4 linked regions of the Bombyx mori genome follow. The main gene of each other region encodes a partner of the protein of the gene in region 4 in a complex. Links are inferred from orthologs where the notes say so. Each region holds a gene or a part of one and is shown on either strand. Other genes may lie near its edges. The genes, in order: general transcription factor IIF subunit 1; DNA-directed RNA polymerases I, II, and III subunit RPABC4; general transcription factor IIH subunit 5; general transcription factor IIF subunit 2.

What was found.
Region 1: general transcription factor IIF subunit 2 (region 4) and general transcription factor IIF subunit 1 share a complex: the UniProt entries of both Homo sapiens proteins name them as parts of the TBP-based Pol II pre-initiation complex. The link is inferred for Bombyx mori from reciprocal best matches to the Homo sapiens genes GTF2F2 and GTF2F1.
Region 2: general transcription factor IIF subunit 2 (region 4) and DNA-directed RNA polymerases I, II, and III subunit RPABC4 share a complex: the UniProt entries of both Homo sapiens proteins name them as parts of the TBP-based Pol II pre-initiation complex. The link is inferred for Bombyx mori from reciprocal best matches to the Homo sapiens genes GTF2F2 and POLR2K.
Region 3: general transcription factor IIF subunit 2 (region 4) and general transcription factor IIH subunit 5 share a complex: the UniProt entries of both Homo sapiens proteins name them as parts of the TBP-based Pol II pre-initiation complex. The link is inferred for Bombyx mori from reciprocal best matches to the Homo sapiens genes GTF2F2 and GTF2H5.

What each region holds. Positions count from the first base shown.
Region 1 is NC_085121.1:15,714,262-15,719,544, forward strand, and holds the start of general transcription factor IIF subunit 1, read right to left. Parts: upstream 3,639-5,283; 5' UTR 3,379-3,638; coding exon 3,355-3,378; intron 3,080-3,354; coding exon 2,901-3,079; intron 2,492-2,900; coding exon 2,357-2,491; intron 1,993-2,356; coding exon 1,891-1,992; intron 1,693-1,890; coding exon 1,624-1,692; intron 810-1,623; coding exon 694-809; intron 88-693; coding exon 1-87. Other genes in the region: kelch domain-containing protein 4, read left to right, coding at 4,357-4,467, 4,823-4,996. UniProt on the Homo sapiens protein: TFIIF is a general transcription initiation factor that binds to RNA polymerase II and helps to recruit it to the initiation complex in collaboration with TFIIB. It promotes transcription elongation.
Region 2 is NC_085111.1:12,248,666-12,253,739, reverse strand, and holds DNA-directed RNA polymerases I, II, and III subunit RPABC4, read right to left. Parts: upstream 3,108-5,074; 5' UTR 2,915-3,107; coding exon 2,851-2,914; intron 2,202-2,850; coding exon 2,109-2,201; intron 1,443-2,108; coding exon 1,420-1,442; 3' UTR 1,270-1,419; downstream 1-1,269. Other genes in the region: uncharacterized protein LOC119628526, read right to left, coding at 4,411-5,074. UniProt on the Homo sapiens protein: DNA-dependent RNA polymerase catalyzes the transcription of DNA into RNA using the four ribonucleoside triphosphates as substrates.
Region 3 is NC_085109.1:11,979,110-11,984,394, reverse strand, and holds the start of general transcription factor IIH subunit 5, read right to left. Parts: upstream 3,533-5,285; 5' UTR 3,406-3,532; coding exon 3,371-3,405; exon of another isoform or gene 3,141-3,370; coding exon of another isoform or gene 3,003-3,140; intron 2,367-3,002; coding exon of another isoform or gene 2,220-2,366; intron 2,102-2,219; coding exon of another isoform or gene 1,996-2,101; intron 1,482-1,995; coding exon of another isoform or gene 1,345-1,481; intron 730-1,344; coding exon of another isoform or gene 640-729; exon of another isoform or gene 634-639; coding exon 447-633; 3' UTR 439-446; intron 1-438. Other genes in the region: meiotic nuclear division protein 1 homolog, read left to right, coding at 640-729, 1,345-1,481, 1,996-2,101, 2,220-2,366, 3,003-3,140. UniProt on the Homo sapiens protein: Component of the general transcription and DNA repair factor IIH (TFIIH) core complex, which is involved in general and transcription-coupled nucleotide excision repair (NER) of damaged DNA and, when complexed to CAK, in RNA transcription by RNA polymerase II.
Region 4 is NC_085110.1:12,711,547-12,716,813, reverse strand, and holds general transcription factor IIF subunit 2, read left to right. Parts: upstream 1-1,798; 5' UTR 1,799-1,990; coding exon 1,991-2,267; intron 2,268-2,398; coding exon 2,399-2,610; intron 2,611-4,002; coding exon 4,003-4,128; intron 4,129-4,681; coding exon 4,682-4,855; 3' UTR 4,856-4,971; downstream 4,972-5,267. UniProt on the Homo sapiens protein: TFIIF is a general transcription initiation factor that binds to RNA polymerase II and helps to recruit it to the initiation complex in collaboration with TFIIB.

The sequences.
Region 1 (5,283 bases), on a different chromosome or scaffold from region 4:
CCTCTTCCTTTTCTTTTTCACCAGCACCGGAGTCCGAGGAAGCGTCGTCGGAGTCTATCCATTCGTCCATCTCGGATATCTTGAGGTCTATGAAACGTTTTCCTGATTAGACAGGCAGAGTTACGGTTCTCGGGCACGATGATGACACGATAGTTGTAAGACTGGTGGTAGGACCTCTCGTGAGTCTGCACGGGTAGATACCACCACCCTGCCTATTTCTGACGTGAAGCAGTAATGCATTTCGGTTTGAAAGGTGGGGCAGCCCTTGTAACCATACTGAGATCTTAGAACTTATATCTCAAGGTGGGTGGCGCATTTAGGTTGTAGATGTCTATGGGCTCCAGTAACCACTTAACACCAGTTGGGCTGTAAGCTCGTTCACCCATTTAAGCAATAAAAAATAAATAAATAAACGAGCGTAATTTTGTGAGTTGTCAGTTGCGTAATGCGTGCGGACTCACAAAAGGTCCTACCACCAGTAAAAACCTTTTGACCTCACCCTTAATAGCGAAGCCCTTGCCCGCAGTGGCTTTAGTAATGTAATGCTATAAGCACAGCATACCAGTACGAAGTCCAGCTGACGATGTTAGAAACCAACTACGCTTTAAGTGCTTGCTTTATTTTACCATAAGACCTACCATCACCAGCTTCAGCTGACCCCACCTCTGGCTTTGAATACCGGAAACTGAGTACCTTTTTTAGCTTTCCCTTTAGCTTTCTTTTCGTCTGGGTCCTCTTCGTCTGCATCGTCGACTCCGCGGAGCCGTTTCCGTAACATCAACGAGAAGAAATTCATAACCTTGTTACGCCTAGTGCAGAAAAAAATCGATCATCGACTTCAATGAAACATATTTTGAAATGTCACTAGAAACAGCAATGGATTCGGTCCAACCATCTTTCTCATATACTATATACGGGGCGACGGAGACCAAAAAGCAATAAATTTTCAAATAATTCAAACAATAAAGTTATTGTAATCATTCTCGTATATCTTTAATGTACAAAAAATAAACTTTTTTTTTCAAATTATTAGTTTTATAACAATAGTCTGTTGCCCTGAAACAGAGATGTAATAAAGTGTTTTGTCTTTTTTCTATTTAGATAAAGCATAAGTACTCAATTCTTCAAATATGCAGACAACAATAAAAAAATATATTTTAATTTTAAGTTCAACTATCTATTATGATCTGGTTTTTTTTTTCCTATATTATATTTATCGTTACATGCAGTGCGAAAAACAATCATTTAAGCTCTAGATCATTATCGTCAAAGGATTTAGGATAATTACAAAGCACCTTCATTTTCGGGAATGACAGTCTGTATAAAATATGAGTAAATGATTTACAAGTAATTTTACTGGTGGTAGGACCTCTTGTGAGTCCGCGCGGGTGGGTACCACCACCCTGACTATTTCTGCCGTGAAGCAGTAATGCGTTTCGGTTTGAAGGGTGGGGCAGCCATTGTAACTATACTTGAGACCTTAGAACTTATATCTCAAGGTCGGTGGTTACGTTGTGGATGTCTATGGGCTCCAGTAACCAATTAACACCAGGTGGGCTGTGAGCTCGTCCACCCATCTAAGCAAATAAAAAAAAATAAAAAAAATGTCATGGACCATCTTACCTGCCAAATTCCTGTTCGGCTTCTTCAGCTGACAGCGCTTTGTATCTCTGAATCGGTTGGAAATTGTACCTGTTAGAATTCAGTTTTTAGTTTCTTAAGAATTAACTACCTTCATTTTTCTACTATATTTGAGCAATTAAAAAAGAACATTAATAACACAAAATAATAATAAAGGAACAGAGATTCACACACAGCATTCAGATTATTTTTAAATAAAATAGAAGCATTTCTTTCATGTTTTGTAAATATTGCATGAACATTCCGTACCATTCCTGGAGTGGATAGGCGTCTATTGCGCCATCCGCTGCGTGAGTGAACACATAATATGCAGCATTCTCTGATACTCCACCTTCACGAATACCTTTGAATCTAAAAATATGATAATACATGATATGAAAATTACCAGTTACATATTAATTAGTATTATATAGAGCAAGCAAATAGGCATAACCACACGTTAGTCTATAACACAAGACTTTTCATTTAATTATATGCAGTTTTTCATCCTGTTTTCAATCATTGACTTTTAATGAAAAAGGAAGAAGTTCTGATTTAATTTTATTTATTTTATTTTTATCTTCGAACTTTTTCTAGGTTAAACGATTCTGATAAATCTTTTGTTGTGTAAAAATTGTTCCAACTCATGTGAAATTAAATTATTTCTTGTGCATTTGTTGTAAAGGAACCACCAAACAATATCAGAAGAGGTTATTGTTATTTGTTAATTACTAACTTCTTGCCGGTCTTTCCACCGACTTTCAGGATCCACGGCTGGTCTTCCGGTTTGTACTTTCTTGATATTATACCGAATTTCTTGCGACGTGCTTCCTCACGCATGTCCCGTCCGTATTCCGAGCCTGCACCAAATCTGGATTTGTGTGACGAGTATTACCAAAAATATTACGTAATAGTAGTAGTATTTTAATTCCCAAGTATTCAATAATCTTGGAGCTGTTAAGATCACTTTTTATAAAGGGTGTTCATGGCAAATCTATTTTTTAAAGCATTGAGTAAATAACCTTAATTTAAGGTGTGTCAGTCTTTAGTGTCAACAATGTTAACCAACCGGTTTCCAGTTTTTGACTATTCTTTGTATTATTATCTGCTAGCATGCAAATTTTTTGAGTTACAGAATTAACTTAATATTAAATAATTATGCCATAAAATTATGACATACTTTTCACATTTATTTTTAATGATGTAGAAAATTAATTTATGATTATTAAGTCAATCTATTTGATATCACCATCAAAGAGTTGAATTTTCTTAATACTAACTTGGGCATTTCCTCTTCAGCTCCTTTGAATTCTTTGCTGTTGTTCTCTCGCTCCATCTTGACATGAGTCCATTTTGCAAAATCTACATTCAATGTGGCATTGAACCTCATAACATGATACTTCTTCTTTACATTCTTTGGCACTCTTATTTTATACTCCTGTACTGTGGCGGCCGGTGTCTGAGAAATTAATTTATTATATCTGTGAAATCGTAACTATTGTTTAAATGATTACGATACCATTCTATGTATGATTTGGTAAAATTTATCAAATTTGGTTATATTATCCTTTTATGTACCTACTTACTTCAGTAAGAACACATATTCTTGCATATTAATTTAATATTATTTTGAACCTCACAATTTGTTGATTGTTTTAAGTTCTTAAACGAAAAAGGTGAAATATCGTATCACGATATTTCACCTTTTTCGTTTAAGAACGAATAATATCTTACCGTACTACTTCCAGGTGTAGACATTTTTTACACTTATATCTATAATATCAAGATTAATGACGGTATATAAATTTATCAAATGACAATAGTCCTCGATATCATGATCTCACTAACGTACACGTTAAATTTCTTCAAATCAAATAATTTATTACGTTACAGTTTACTCTTTGATTAAAAATATTGTAATCAATTAAAACAATGCTAATCGCAAACTGTGCTGGCAAAATGAAAATTCTGTCAAATTAATGTCAAAAGTCAAAATTTCATCAAGCACAGAGCACATTTCAGTCTGTCAATGAATTTATGATCATAAGTATCAAGTCATATATGACTAAATAATATTATCATTTAACTATGCTCATGACTTCTATTATTTTAATAAACATGCAATAGTCATTAGGATTTAAAACATTTTTTTCATACGTGACGAAAAAGCAATCTTATCAAATGTTTACAGCAGCTTAGCATATTGTCGTCCAGCATTAGAAATTACCCACAAGGTTAGTCACCTCCTCTTTGCGTCGATAATCCACAACAATGAGGGTCATGGCGTCCCATAATAATTTCGCTTGGACTATCCTGCGCCAACATTGCCTATCCTTGACTTTCCGGAGGGCATCGTGGACTGAGGTGTTGAGAGTAGAGGCAGCTAGTGCAATCATAGCATTGGACTTCTGCTTCTGAACCTTCTTCCGCATACTTTGCCTGTTACCAGCAATTATTCTAAATTGTCATCTTCTTTCTGACAATGTGTCCAAAGAACTCAAAATTTGAACGGAATCTTGAACTCAGTAAGAATGTATTTGTAGGATCAAATGTTCTATCAAGCCCTTCCATCCTAAAAGTTATAATCATAAAACAGATATGGCTTTGATTATTTTGGCTGTATTCCCATTGCCAATGAAAAAAGAAAAAAAAAACTGTTTACAATAATAATCACAATACTTAAAAATCTGTTTCATAAAATATTTAGAAATTTAAGTTAATTTATTTTTCATTAAAATGGGTAAAAAGAAAAATAAGAATAAAGTTAGTGGCGCTGTTAAAACCGCAGCAAAAACTGAAAAAAAGCTAGCTAGCAAATTAAAAAAAGAACTCGCAAATCTTGGTGAGGTTAGACCATGCCTTTTCGCACTATTTATTAGAAACTCTCAAAAAGTTACCTGAAATTACGCCCTAATGGATCTAATATAGTAGTATAAACTTAAATGTTATTGAAACTAACTTACTAAAATTATTTAAATGGGTAAATTTTGTAAAAGTCATGAAAAACATAAAATTAAATAATTCGAAATAATTTATATTTTTATGATTTAATCTAGCTTTAATTATTTGGAGATAATATAATAACAAAAACTACTTCTATGATATGACGTAAATGATAATAAAAGTCATTTTGTCACTAAACTAAAGCTGAAGAAAGAGCAAGTAAAATTTTAATAGAAGTTTTGTATTATGTATATTTCAGGAAGATATAGCTAAAGTGATAGCTGAGATAGAACGGGAGGAAGCTAAACGATATGCTGCATCAGAGAAGGTCCTCGAAAAGCCACCATCCTCCAGAGCGTACGCAACGCTCACCCCACATCCAATCAATAATGAGCTTGTGCTGTTTGGTGGAGAATACCACAACGGACAAAAGGTATCAATTTCATTTTTAGAGATATTACAATATTAGGTAAAGTATCATGATGGATAAAGAAAATACATAAATTGGTGTATCTGTAATTTTATAGTCCATCCAGTGTTAAGTTATTACTGAATTTAGACATTACAACATGAATAGCATTACTAACTGAGACATCAAGTTGAATTACTTCTTTAACCCTTAAAACTGGAATGCATACTTTGTGGCAGAAATAGGTATAGAATGATGATGAGTGATTTTGATAGAAGAATATACATACATAAATGTGCCTAATTGCTATC
Region 2 (5,074 bases), on a different chromosome or scaffold from region 4:
GATTTTTAATTGATATTTTTCTATGTAATTTTTATATTTCAACTACCGATAAATTGAAATTTATTACGTCATCTGTATAGTTCTCTAATTGGGACATAATATAAATTCGAGACAGAACATGTAAAGTTACTTGATCATAAACTGTCATGATTTTGTATTTTGTTTCCAAGAATGTTATTTGTATGTGCTATAAACTTTTTGATTATGATTAGTGAGTTGGTAACTATAGAATGGAATTAAATCTCTTTATTCAAATTTTCTTTATGCATGTGTATACCCATAGCATGTTTATATTCACTATTATATAACGTAAGCAAAAAGTTGACTTAGAGGAATGTGTGAAAAATTAAATTTGATATTAATGTCGTGAGTCCTAACAATTATTTATTGATAGTTTTTATGGATCGAAAAAAAATGTATATTTGTGGCTATTGTAAAATTTTAGACATACATTTTCTGGTGTTTTATTATGAGAGGTAATAATTTTAATAAATTGTTAAAACTTTATAATGATGAAGTTACATAATTAAAATACACTGAGATATTTCCCTTTTGTTTTTTTTATTAGTTGTTATTATTTAACGGAAGTTTTACGAAAGTACTCCATATTGACACTTTGCGTCTGGCGCCACTAGCGGTGTCGTGTGCAAAACTGGCCAACGGTCACACGTAAATGCCGCCACCCATGTTTACGATTAAAGGAATAACATCGTGTAATGAAAATCAAACCCGCAAAATTATAATTTGCGTAATTACTGGTGGTAGGACCTCTTGTGAGACCGCGCGGGTAGGTACCACCGCCCTGCTTATTTCTGCCGTGAAGCAGTAATGCGTTTCGGTTTGAAGGGTGAAGCAGCCGTTGTAATTATACTTGAGACCTTAGAACTTTATCTCAAGGTGGGTGGCGCATTTACGTTGTAGATGTCTATGGGCTCCAGTAACCACTTAACACCTGGTGGGCTGTGAGCTCATTCACCCATCGAAGCAATAAAAAAAAAAGATAATGAACTCATTTGATATCTATCTATAAAGTTACATATTTTTCTTGCACTTAAGTCTTTTTTTTTTAAGGCAGTAGTTCATTTAGAAACATCAAATAAGTTGATTGATACTTCAAATCATTCAGATTACTTATATCTATTGGGTACAATTTAGAACACATATATCATGGCGGTAGGTGGCATTCATGTTTTAATGTCTATGGGCTACCACCAGTATATAATGTAAAGTGATGATGTAGATCTATAAATCTACTATAAAAAAACTACCTTGTATATATTTTTTTTCATTGGTCAGTATTATTAGAGCATAGACAAAGTAACAAAAATACACATTAACCTTATTATAAATTTATTTCACTCTTCTGTGCATGATGTATCCACCGAACTTATCTTCTAGGGTTTTGTTTCCAGAATTCGTTTACCGAGCGTCAAACACAACCACTGAATTCTTACTTAAGGAAAATTTTTCAGAATATTACGAACAAAAATATGATGAATTTAAAATCAACACAAACTACAAAAAGGGTAATTTTCTGAAGATTTTAACAGATATGAGTCGTCTATTATCAAAGGTGGCAATCTGTACATTTGGACAATTTTTTTTTATTGATATGTCAATACAGATTTATTTGAATATAATCGTCTCCTTCAAAGAATACGGTTCAAAACCTGCATTAAATAAAGGTTAATAGTTAACCTGTTATTTATCTAAGATGTCGTTCCGAAGAGTTTTGTGACTGCCAATGGAATACAAAGTCAATAATTCGTTTTTCTGATTTACCAATCATTGTCCAAAAGTCAGATTGCCGCCTTTGATAATAGTCGACTCATTTATTACATTTATTTTCTTGCAAGCTCAATGTGATCTAAAGGATAAAACAGATGGTGTAGTTGTGTCAAGCTGTGCAACCATGCAAATGTGCAAATTGCATATACCAATATCCAAAGAAATATACTCTCGAAATGTGATCACGAATCACTTCCACAATGAAGGAATTAAATATGGGTGATACCTGTCAATACCTTTCTACTGATTAAAATCACTAGGCTGTATCCTAGTCCTATAATCTTTACTTTAAGAATATATTTATAGAATCAAAAGGATACGTCTTTTTGTTCTTTTCTTGTACATTATTCTGTAACCACATTCTCTGCACCTAATAGGATCTCTTGGTTTGATTTCATTCTCTTTGTGACATTCTGAAAATGATAATGAAAGCATCATTTGTTTTGCAGACCCATATTATAGTTTCAGGATTGCATTTATTAAAGAAACCAACATTTAAACAGTTGAAGTAGATGATCGGCAAAAACAATAATGTAGAAAAGGGCAAACAATATAATTTACTCTCAATTGAATCAATTTCATTTTTCTAATACTTTTAAGTTTAGGTTTTTTAAATTTTAATATTAATATTAACAAGTTTTATTAAAAGCACTTAAGCTTTTACGGCTTTTAGCTTTACTAAAGAACATTTATATTTATACAGATGCATTCCCCATTTGAAATATAGTAAAACAATAACACATTAAACAAAACGCCTTAATTTATACAATGTTATAAGACAGTGTGAATAATTTTATAATCTACTATACACAAAAGACAAATTAACTGATTTATTAATTCTTTGTTTAGTAGACATTGACAAGCTTAGTGTTATCGGTAAGAACATTTTAAAAGTAGTTTCTTTCTTTTTTCTATAAAAAATGTTCATAAATCAAGAGAAAAAGAAATACAAAAAAAATATTCAATTATTGGGGTATGCTGATACCTAACAATTATTAGGTTATTTTGTGTTAGTGTTTTACAAAGTGATAGAAGTTTTGTTATTATTTGGTTACACTGTACCTCCACAAACATATATCATTGGCACTTTAGTAACTGATTGCTCTTTCCCAGTTGTGTCAGCCATTATGTGCTAAAATAGAGAAAAATTAAATAATAATAAAAAATGTGTTTTATTTTAAATCACCAATTTGATTTAAGCTTTATATTAAGTGTATAATCTATGCTTTGGATTGTTATTTTGTGTGTAGAATCTATGGTTTTTGGATTTGTTTAATTAAGCCGCAAAGGGAACTTAAACCATAAAACGTTTTGTTCAAAAGAGGGCTTGTCTTGTTGAAGAAAAAAATACGTAAAAAAAGGAGTGGAAATTTAAAAGAAAAAATCATCGGGACATTGGAGGGGAACCGAGGATTATTTTTAATTATTTGTTCGTCGTTTGATCGTCAATGTTTGAATGTAAAATTATCTGTTCGTCTTTTATTTATTTATAATTAATTAAACAAATGATCACCCTTCAGTTGGCCCCTCTTACTAGATATCTTTGTTTTTATTGCTCAGATTAATTAATTTTGATCAATTATTGTTTGTTCGACGACTATTGGTGATTGTTCGATCATAAAAACAAGTAAATTCGAAATTATTAATTATTTTATATCTAATAAGCAAATTATCACCTCACGCCTACATTGCGCATGCGCCGGTTTTGTCAGTCAGATGGCAATGGCCGACGGCCGTATTTACTACCTTTTTGTTACGCGCGAACATTAACGAACAAACGACGAACAAATAATTAAAAATTAAAAAAATCGAAAATTAAAAAAGGGGACCAAATTCAGTGAGCCGTAAAGCAAATAAATGGCATATTTTTTTACATTTTATTTATGGATTGAGTTAGCTAATCTGTGCATTAAGCTCCCAAACATAGAAAAACAGACTTTTTGGCGGGAACGCGAGGAGTGATATTGTGTGATTTGTTATATTTTGTCTATTTAGTGTTTCTTCGGGTTTAAATGTGTAATAATGGTGGTTTATTAGCAGTTTAATATCTGTGAAAGTGCACAAATGTGGGAAAATGGAACAAAGCCGCTGGACGTAACTTCTCGGGATCCTCCAAAAAGTCCACTGAAAAATCTTAGTAAATGACCACCATTTTACTGAGATTATATTTCATCCCATATTTTCTCATTTCATTTCGTTTTCATTTCATTTCATGCCATGTTTCACAATAATCAACTTCATTTCATTTAATAATATCATTTTTCATATAAAAAAGTTATCATTAAAATTAAAATAAGACTTGACCTAAAGGTCTTAGTTACCAGGTCATAAAATCCCTTAAAAAAACAAACATAGTAAACAAAGAAATAAATATTTTTTCATTTTTTTCCCTACCTGCACCTGCCTATTCGCTTAATACTCGGCAAACTTCTTGAGCATTAGTTGACGTAGTGGGGGTAAGTTCGCGCATCGTACAATTACGTACAAAAATGTTAAGTTATTAAAAACAACATAATATGTATTTATTTATATATTTATTAGTACATGAACAAAAAATACAGGTTAATAATTGTAGTAATTTAATCTAGGGGTAAAATAGATATTCCTTCCATTAGGTCAAAACTAGGAGCTGGTGCCAGGTCTTGGATCAGCTGAAGCTGAGCTGGTATTTTTAATTGTTTTTTCGCTATCATAATCATGACCATCATCATCATCATCACTACTTTCTTCATCCGTGTCGCAATCATCGTCAGCAAAAATTACAAACTCATCAGTGACTAAATCTACCACATGATCACTTTTTACATACTCCGCCTCAATATCTTTTATCTTTTGACATATTCTACCCCATTCCGGAGCACCCATCACCGCGACCTTTTCCTTCACTAGCTCTATTACTTTGCCAGTGCTCCAGTCGACATTTTTGCTACTGACATACCCTTTAATAGCTGCCCAAGCCATTTCAATTGGGTTGAGGTCTGGATGGTATGGAGGTAAGCGAAGCACTGAATGGTTGTGGTTTGATAAAATTTTATCAATGCTGTATGTTTTGTGTTGTTCCTTATGTGCTTTAATCAAGCTAAAAAGCTGGGGTTTCAACATGTTTTCATCGTATGGAATTTCTTTTTCTTGTAACCATTTCTTCATATAGACTTTTTTGGCATTGGCAGTTGGAGCGGGGTCAGACTGTTTATAGTGATATGACGCATTGTTGACTACTACAACGGAATTTGGTGGCAGATTTGGTAGCAATTGACAACGCAGCCATTTTTCGTAGTTCAAATAG
Region 3 (5,285 bases), on a different chromosome or scaffold from region 4:
ATTGGGTGCTTTAGGTATTATCAAATTCCACTCATATCTATCAATAAAATATCTCGAACTATTGACACCGCGCACCCCACGCTTTTATATAAATAATTTATTTTAATTTTTTTTTTGTTGAATTTTCTATAAAAGCGTGTTGTTTAGTCTTTTTTTAAATATTATTTAATATAAATATTTTTTATTTACAAATAAGACTATAAGGATAAATAGGTTAAATAAGAAGTAAAACTATAAAAATTGAAAATCGAATCATACATAAACCTAATAATATTAATAAAAAAAAGCATTATGTGGAAGGCATTGGGGAAGGCCTATGTCCAGCAGTGGGCAGATAAAGGCTGATGATGATGATGATGATGAAGTAAAATTTCGCGATTCGCGCACAAATGCGGATCTCTATCACCATATATTATACAAATATGTTTGAATATTTACCTCGTAATTTATAATCCTTTATCGTGCACGGGTATGCTGAGCTGGTCCATTAAATCGTCAACGCGAGCTTGTAGAGTCTCCACAATATCAGCTGATATGAACAAGTGTGTTTCATCCAGGTCTTGAAGAATAAACTTTCTACCAAGTGCAAGAGTTTCATCCAAGTGTAGTAAGAATTGTTTCATTGCCGGATCACTGAAAATGTCCAAGAAACGAGGTCTTAGTGCTGATGAAAAGAAGACCAGAATGCTTGAAATATTCCATCAAAGTCAAGATTTTTTTCAATTAAAGGTAACCTCATTAAATTACAACTTCATACATAGCTTTCGATGTCACTCTGCCCTAAACGATAAGATGCCAGATGTACTCATATTAAACAGTATTATTATAGCAATGTTTAAACCCAGCGGTTAGGTGCCAATTTTAGTAATGAACTTTGTAATTAAACATGTTTATAAATGACTTTCACAATAAATAATTAATGAAATCTGATAATACTGATGGGTGGCACATACATTGTGATGTCTGTTGACTCCAGTAACCTAATCACATACACCAGGGGTGGGTATTAAGCTCTTCCACTCAACTAAGCAATAAAATATATCTCTTATTTAGGATAAATGAGACAGTGTGAAATAGTGTCTGGAGTTTCTTACTTACTAGCAATGCAAGGTCGTTTTTTAATTAATTGAGAGCAAAGTAATAATAAATGAAGTTTTCACGAATGTTTACTCATCATTTGACTTACTTGGTAGGAGTCCAATTTCTTATTTGTTGGTGATCATGTTAGTTGAGTCACCAAATAGTCAATAATTAGTTCAAAAGAAAATGTTTAGACAGCACATAAAACAGAAGTGGCCATAACAAAATCTATTAAGATAATATTTTATATTTTAACTTTTACAGGAACTAGAAAAAATAGCACCAAAAGAAAAGGGTATTACAATGCAATCAGTTAAAGAAGTGATTCAGAGTCTAATTGATGATCACCTGGTTGATTCTGAAAAAATTGGGACTTCAGTGTACTTTTGGTCTTTCCCAAGGTACTATGTTAAACAACTAACTAAATAACTGGGAACAGAACAGTACATTATCATCTGGCGTCAAATCTGGCCTATTTCTGCCATTAAGCAGTTATTTATTTCGGTTTGAAGGGTGTTAGGTCATCATGCTGTTACAACTGAGACCTTAGAAATCTTGTCTCAAGGCAGGTGGCAGCATTTATGTTGTAATGTCTATGGGCTTCGGTTACCATGTAAAACCAGGTGGACTCATGTAAGCAGTAAAGCTGAATGAATAAATTTTTGCCCAATATGGGAATCGAATCCACAACTTTCGGCAGTCAGGGGTGCCAACTTTTGCACCACCGAGTCAGTCATTGACTAAGACTAGTTTTATTATTTTGAATAATAAAATTTACATGGACTTTACACACTGATGCTATGAGAAATTAAGAGTAAACAATTGTGCTTTTTAAAAATTTATGACTGCAAAATTATTTTTCAAATCAAGCAAGCTGTGGTAATGCCATGCAAACATTAAATAAATTACTTGTAGCAAAGCAAAAAGTACCAAGAAGAGGAAGCTACAAGAACTCCAGAATGAATTTGATGAATGTACGAAGAAGTTAAAGAAAACTGAGGAAGTCCTTATAGCAGAATCGGTCAGAATATTTATAGTTTTTTACTTAGTATAGTATAGTCTATAGAGTTATAATGAAACTTAATTCTATTCTATATTTATCAGAGACTGATATATTTATTAATTGACTTTAATATTAGAAAGGCAGAGAGATATCTGAAGAAAGAATAAAAATATTATCATCTTTAGAAGATCTTCAAAAGCAAGAGGCTTCATATAAGAGAGAATTACAAAAATACAGAGAATCTGATCCTGAATATATTGCACAACTGAGACGTGAAATAACTGTAAATCCAATTCTTATATTAATGTAGATGAGATGATGTCTTAAGGTCTATATTCCATTCAAGCTCATATTAGCGCCCCACTGTGAGCGCAATAGATAAGGCCAATGTCCCAAGTTTAAGGATTTAGTAATTGATGAATCAGTTCATGGCCTTTCTATAGTAGTATAGTATTTAGTGTTTCTGAAGTGTTAAGTAAGTTACTGAAGTTGATAGGTATCACAATGTGACTTCTGCTACCCACTTTAATATTGCACACATTAGATCAGTTACTATTATATTTCATAAAGGCCAAGTGAACTGATCAAACTGGAATGTGTATATTTTTTTTGGCAGATGTAGGCAGAATGACAAAACTGTATGAGCTTACAACTGGTAATGACTTTTAAGTCTAACATGTCTATTTCATGCTAGAAAATATATATTTTATTATTTGGTGGGTAATATTACTCAATATAACTTATCAGTATATTAATTAAGCATTGTATTCATTATTTAAAAATAAGGAAAACAAAGTACATTTAAAAAAATACTATGTTTTGATAAATAGCTTTCTGTAGGTGGTAGTATGTATAACCAAAGACATAACTATAATATTATCAAATAATAATATTGGATTAAAAATGTTTCATTTTGTAGGAATTGAAAACAGCCAGCAACAGATGGACAGAAAATGTATATATATTGAAATCTTATATAAAAAATAGTTTTCAAATAGATATTGATGCACTAGAAGAAAATTTTAACATACCTAAAGATATGGATTACATTGAATGAAGTTTTATATACAAGGCATTCCTCATAACCTAGGCCCAGAACATTAAATTTAAGTATGGGAAAAACCAAAGAAGAAATTCTTTGGCAAGTTAATATATTGTACGTAGTAAATTGATTAACTGATGTAATTTAAAATTCAAATCATTAAAGCACATTGTAACGATTCTAACTTTATCTGTAAGTTTGCATATGTAAAAGTAATATTTGTGAGAAATAAAAATAATAAATACCATTCAACGAGGACACCTTTCATTACATTCACCATGGTTCATTGTTTTAGAACTTGTCACTTTATGTAATAATTAATTGTAAATAAAGTATGTAGGTACCTATTTACTCCCTACTTTCAGTAGATACCATAGGTTATACAGAATACTATTACTATTATAAACTATTATTCATAGACTATACACTTAATATCTATTATTTATGGGTAAGTGTGGAAGGCTCATTACACTTTGCTAAATTTAGTCGGTGTAATAGCATTCAGTAAGTTAACCTGCTAAATTCAGTAGCAAGGATGGTTTCTGACTGACTAAATCATTTAGAAGCCTAATTAGAAACGCATATAAGAAGGTGTAATCGCATTTAGTTACTTAATGATTTCAGTCGTCCCATAGCTCTCCGTGCGTAAGGACGGCTTAGTTTGTTTTTTACTTCCGAATAAAAAGTATTTATTTCGCTCACCTTTATTAAATGTGCCAAACATTTATAAATAGCCCAACTTGTTTCAGGGATAATTTTTGTCAGAAGGGGTTGGGATATTATAAAGAACTAAAAATTAAATCTTGATACGAATTTCCTGTTGCAAGAAATCTTAATGTTACAACCAATCTTTCTTTTGGACTTATACTATCGTAGGATTAGATATGTAATAGTTATATAATATAGATATATAATAGACTATAGTAGTATCGTAGGATAGTATCCTGCTTTTGAAAAAAATTGTGCCACAAGGCTTAATATTTGGTCAAACGACCTCGAATCCATTCGTAGATCATTTCTGAAGTCTGCTGGTTCTAAATCATTCTTTTTTTTTTTTTTTTTTTTTTTTTTTTTTCCTGCCTAAGCTGAGAGCCTTGAGAGGCTATATCAGCGTAACCCTAACTTTTGTAGGTGAGCTCACGGGGCTCAAACCTGACGATGTTGCTAACACGAACCCTAGCAAGAGCCGTGCTTCGCAGAATCTACCACCGGATCGGAAACGCGACCCACTGAGAAGATCCGGCGAGAAACTCAGTGGGCTGTGTCTAAGAGTTAATTTACTCGTCGAGCCCTTCGTCGCAAGCGACGGGTTCGACGAGAACGGTGACCGGTGCTTGAAGTACCTAAAAGCACCGTTAGTGGATCGGGAGGATCCGAGATGACGTGTTTTGGGCGACGTCGACTGCTTTCCATTCTGTCCGCAGGATCGGGAATGTAGTTACCGGCGGCCACGATGAGAGGGTTCTCGTGTCGTGCCGCTTTATCGAAGTGGCGCATTGACGCCGACTGCATATACTTACTGGTGGACTCGAAGTCCAGGTCGTCATGGAGGTCGACGTTCCTGACGAACCACGGGGCTCCGACGGCTATCCTGCAAAAACGGGATTGAATGACTTGGAATGATTTCAAGTGTATGCGGGCCGCGTGAGCGAACACTACACTTGCATAGGTCATGACGGGGCGTATGCAAGTTTTGTAGAGTGTCACCTTATTTCTAAGGGACATTTTACTTCTCCTACATATCATCGGATAGATAAATCACTCATAATGTTCATATTTGCTAACTTTCCGCGCAGCAATATATATTTCTTCGCCCATACTCTTCATTTTTTTTTTTTTTCAATTGAGCCGACAGCGAGGTCTGCGCCTAGACCAATTTTTTGTTGTTTAGATAATACTGGGGCCATTCACACACACACGACACGTCCTACTTCGTCGCGTTTATACTGACAATTGATTCAGTAACTGAAGTTAAGAACAGTGTAATCAGAAGCTTCCAACTTGCTTCTAAATTTGCTTTTGAATTCAGTCGACTAAATTTAGCCAAGTGTAATAAGCCTTTAAGGCGTAAGTGTAAGCTTTTTTTTTAAGGGATTTTATGACCTGGTAACTAAGACCTTTAAGTCATGTCTTATTTTAATATAAATGCTTATTTGAGTC
Region 4 (5,267 bases):
TGATATTTATAGATTATACAATAAATGTCTCTCTCTCACCTAGTATCCTCGACTGACCTTGACCTAAAGTTACCAGGTCATAAATTCCCTTAAAAAAACACTTAGTAACTCTATATTCTATAATGGGTTAACAAAATTTAAACAAATTCTAAGGTGCCAAAAGTAATTCTCCTCTTAATATTCTTTAAATTTTAAGTTTAAAATCTATGTAAGGGTCAAAATAGTTAATATACCTAAAGCTCCTGTGACGTAGTACCGGTAAAATGGGGCGATTAGGGACAACTTCCAACTTTATGACCAATTTTAAGGTAGTTGTTGATGTATATAATTCTATATCAGTATCAAAATGATTGAGTCTTGGGGGCATCTTTGTTATCCAATTTAAAACTATGCAACTAGCATTCCAGTTTATGCAAAAAATGCAAAAATAGGTGTAATCCCTATTTACCCGGAAATTGCGGTTAATTGGGACGAAATGAGAAATTTGCTAGGGTTGGCACTACTTGGTTTTAATTTATTTGTTTTATTTACTTATGATTAATTTATATTTACTTGGGAAATGATCCACGACAGATTTGTCCTGTAAGTTGTGAGACAATTAAAAAAAACATCTATTTTATCACTTAAAATTAGTTCAGCGCAATCGGACAACTCCGAATGAACATTGACGGAGACCACGCTACCGTGGACATTATTGTAGTCCCAAAGGATTCTGTATATGGGAGAGTAAGCACCTAAATTCGAACGAGTGAGCTTTCTTATAAACGGTTTATATTTCTTCGGTCTTGGTAAGTACTTAGGGGCTGATATTTTTATCTGGGTTAAGAGATTAGTTATGTCGGTTATTCCATGGATTAATCAGATGAATACCCCCACTCTGAACAAATATTAAATATTTTATAATGTATTACTTAGACATTTTTGTCCACCTCGAGATTTCATTGTTCTTGTTACATGTCTGTGCAAAATCGACTTACTTATATTAAATTGCTTGGCTATTTCAAGTAAAGACTTATTCCCAATTTCATAGGCTTCTATTGCTGTTTTTAATATTAAGGGATCATATCTCTTATAAGGCTTTGCACTCTTTGATACGTAAACGCGAGGCATATCTAAAAATAGAAAACAATACGTAACTGATAATATATTTACCAAACAATAAAATAACACATTGATAATTTTAAATAAAAGTTCTAGACAAAGACATCATGAATAAACCAGATTTTTACCAACAAATTTAAAAAATATTGTTATAACTACATAGACAACCCTACAAACCTGTACCTATTTATACTTAGGTGGTTTCCATTTCACGTATTCTCATCCCAATTGACCCCTTTTTCGTTGTTATTTGTACCTAAGACGTCCCTAATATCCCCCAAAACAACAGATTTTTACATGTATTTTTATTTTATCAAATACATTAAAACCAATAACAACTGAGACTTACCTTTAATATATATGATGGTTCAAACACTAAATAACGTTTATAAATCACAGTCGTCTTCTATTATTATCAAATAAATAAAAGAGAGCAAAGTTTCTAGCACTAAAATAATTTCCAACACAGGAAGTTAATTTGAAACGCGATTTTTTATAAGTTAGCAGCTATTATCATGCATATTCAGAGTTTTTTTGTGAACTTTCAACATTCTACTATTAAACTACAAAAAATGGAAGATTTTGCAACGAATATAAAACTAATATTGTGCGTCGCAAGATTTTCCCGGTTTTTTCCCGATTCGCCTCTCAATCCCTAATCGCCCCATTTTACGGTATTTATTATATTAATCTGTGGTTAAGCTGTCACCATAGATTATACACTTAATATTTTCGAGAGCTGTCACTTATGTAGGTCTTTTGTGGAAGTGCAAGTAAATTTTCTAAGATTTAGTTATAGTTAAAGGAAATCTTTACGACTTTAGTACTTTTAAAGGCCGTTAAAATAGTGTCCGCTATCGACTGCTAATAGATTTTATATTCCACAACAATGACCGAATTGGACTTATCAAATACTGGTAGAGGAGTATGGTTGGTAAAAGTACCTAAATATATAGCAAACAAATGGGAAAAAGCTCCTGGAAACATTGAGGTAGGAAAACTAAAGATCTCCAGAGTACCAGGAACGAGAGCTAAAGTGCAGTTATCCTTGTCAGAAGCAGTGCTATGTTTAAAGGACCCTGGTGAACAAAGCATACCAAAAGAACATAAGCTTGATGTTTCAAACGTTAATACTCAATCTCTAGGTGTATTTTCGCATATTGCCCGTAAGTAGTCTCATAATTATCTATATTTAACGCCTCCTAACATGTCCTGGTGAACTCAATGATAAAATTAATTTCATGTCTAAAGTTCGATATTATATTAATCGTGTTTATTCATAATATAACCATTTTAGCGACAAATACGGACTCTGTAGTACCAGAGACAGAAAACCTTTACATGGAGGGTAGGATTGTACAGAAATTGGAATGCAGACCAAATGATGATGTGACATACTATAAGCTTAAATCTGAATCAATAAAGAAAGCATCCATGCCTCAGCGACAAGTGCAACAGCTTGACAGGATTGTTCAGAACTTCAAACCAGTATCTGACCATCCACATAATGTATGTTTACTGTTGAAATCTAAAGGATTGATTTACTGTATTTTTCAGCAACTGATCATTAAAACATGCCCCTGACTGCATTGGAAGTCAAACTAGAGATGATTAAAAAGTTTTAAATAGAGCATGTGTAGAGCTCTGAGATCTCCAGATGCAGTTCAATACTCTTTGGATATGTTGTTGAATGAAATGCTTCATATAAATTCTACTAGAAGTATTAAAATACAGGTTGCAGCAATGTCTGCTCCCATTGTATAGCAAAGTTATCATTTAGACAAACTCGAAAATAAAAACATGATTGATCAATATAAAAAATTATAAATTGTGTAGTTATTGATAGCTACTTATCTGATAACAGTCCTCCATAGGTTAGGAATTAATGGGACATAAGTAGTGATTGATATAATTGGAATGGTGGAACGGTAAATAGGGAATGTTTAGTAGCTTGGGATGGCCAAGACTGTAAAATTTGCATCTTGAGCTGGTATAAAATACAATAGGTACTTCCACCTTTTATCTGAAGATGGGTGGGCATTCATATATGTGTGGTATTGGTACAGATAGTAGGGTGTGTGTAGATATTGCTCCTGCTTATGTTTACAGCAAATCATTGTGTGCTTAGTGTGAGTTTTTAACTTCTTGATCAAACGGCCGTCTGGTGTAGTGGTAAGTGACATGGTCACTACACAAGGAGGTCGCGGGTTCGAATCCCGCCAAGGTAAGATATTTGTATGATAAATGTAAATGTCTTTCCAGGGTTATGGGTGTACATTAAATATATGTATGTGTATAATAAAATATTATATTTATTTCCGTTATCTGGTACTTGTAACACAAGTTCTTTACGAACTTAGCACGGGACCAGTTAACGTGGCGTGATTGTTAGTAAATATTTATATTTATATTTATTTATATTTAAAAAATAACTCAAATTTGTATGAAGTTGGAATAGCGCCCCTGCGTTTGCTTCTTGGGGTGCTGTTCCAACTCTGATCGAGAAGTTAAAAAGTTCACACTAAGCACATTGGTTTGAAGGAAAACCTCATACAATAGAATTGAGATTTCGACTTCTCAAGGTTTTTGGTGCTATTCATGTTATGATGACTAGTGAGGTAACCACTTTACACTGGGTGGACCACGGGGTTCTTCACTCATCTATATAGTAAATTAAATTATAAACATCAGTAAATAAAAACAAATGGCTCTGTATATTTTTACTTTCTATGAGCTCTTAAACCAACCAGAAAACTTTTCACAAGTGACACAATGAATAACAACAGGTTTTAAAATTTCTTAAGTTGTTTTACTTTTTGTATTCTATTAAGTTTATTTCATTTCATTATGTTAATCATGCTTTTTTTAATTTTGTATATTAAAATTTCGTAAAATATTTAGATTGACTACCAAGAAAGGAAGAAGGCTGAAGGGAAAAAGGCTCGTGATGATAAAGAAGCAGTGCTCAATATGCTGTTTGCAGCATTTGAGAAACATCAGTATTACAATATTAAGGATCTTCAAAAGGTAATAAATACTATTCTGATGATTTTATATTTGTCTAAACATAAAATTATTAACACATTATTAAGCAAAAAATTTAATCATTGTCTTAATAAAAAAAATAAAGGCCAAAAGAAACTGTTTCACTGTATATATTATATTCTAATTTTGATAATACTGTTCATACTTTGAAACTGAGAATAGTAGTGACTTTGAATTTAAAATTAGATGTTCATAAAAAAAAACACATCTAATTGCATTTTTTTTTATTGCTTTGATGAATGGACGAGCTCACAGCCCACCTGATGTTAAGTGGTTACTGGAGCCCATAGACATCTACAACGTAAATGCGCCACCCACCTCGAGATATAAGTTCTAAGGTCTCAGTATAGTTACAACGCCTACCCCACCCTTCGAACCGAAACGCATTACTGCTTCACGGCGGAAATAGGCGGGGTGGTGGTACCTACCCGTGTGGACTCCCAAGAGGTCCTAGTGAATTATGTAATTATTTTTTCATTAAATCATTATAATAATAGACATAACGATTTAAGTATATTATTTATTGTAATTTCAGATCACCAGACAGCCAATAGTATATTTGAAAGAAATTCTGAAAGAGGTCTGTAATTACAATTTAAGAAATCCTCACAAGAATATGTGGGAGTTAAAACCAGAATATAGGCATTACAAACAAGATGTTCCTGTTGAAACAAAGGAGGATAAGAACAGTAATTCTGATACTGAATAGACTGAAATTTGTATTAATTATACAAATATACATAAATATGGATGTCAGAGAATCCTCGACAGAAGCAAAGTTTTTATGTATTTTTCAATAACTTATATTATAAGATGTGTTAAGAATGTGAATTTTTCATTATTACCTGTAATATTATGTGATCAATCTTGGGTGTATACTCGAAATAATGTAAAGATTTTAAAAATAATTATTATTGTGTATTCTTGGACAGTATCCTCCTACAAATGTCTCAGTAGAAAAAAGGGAGATGACATTCCCGATCCTACGGACAGAATGGAAAGCAGTCGACGTCGCCCAAAACACGTCATCTCGGATCCTCCCGATCCACTAACGGTGCTTTTAGGTACTTCAAGCACCGGTCACCGTTCTAGTCGAACCCGTCGCTTGCGACGAAGGGCTC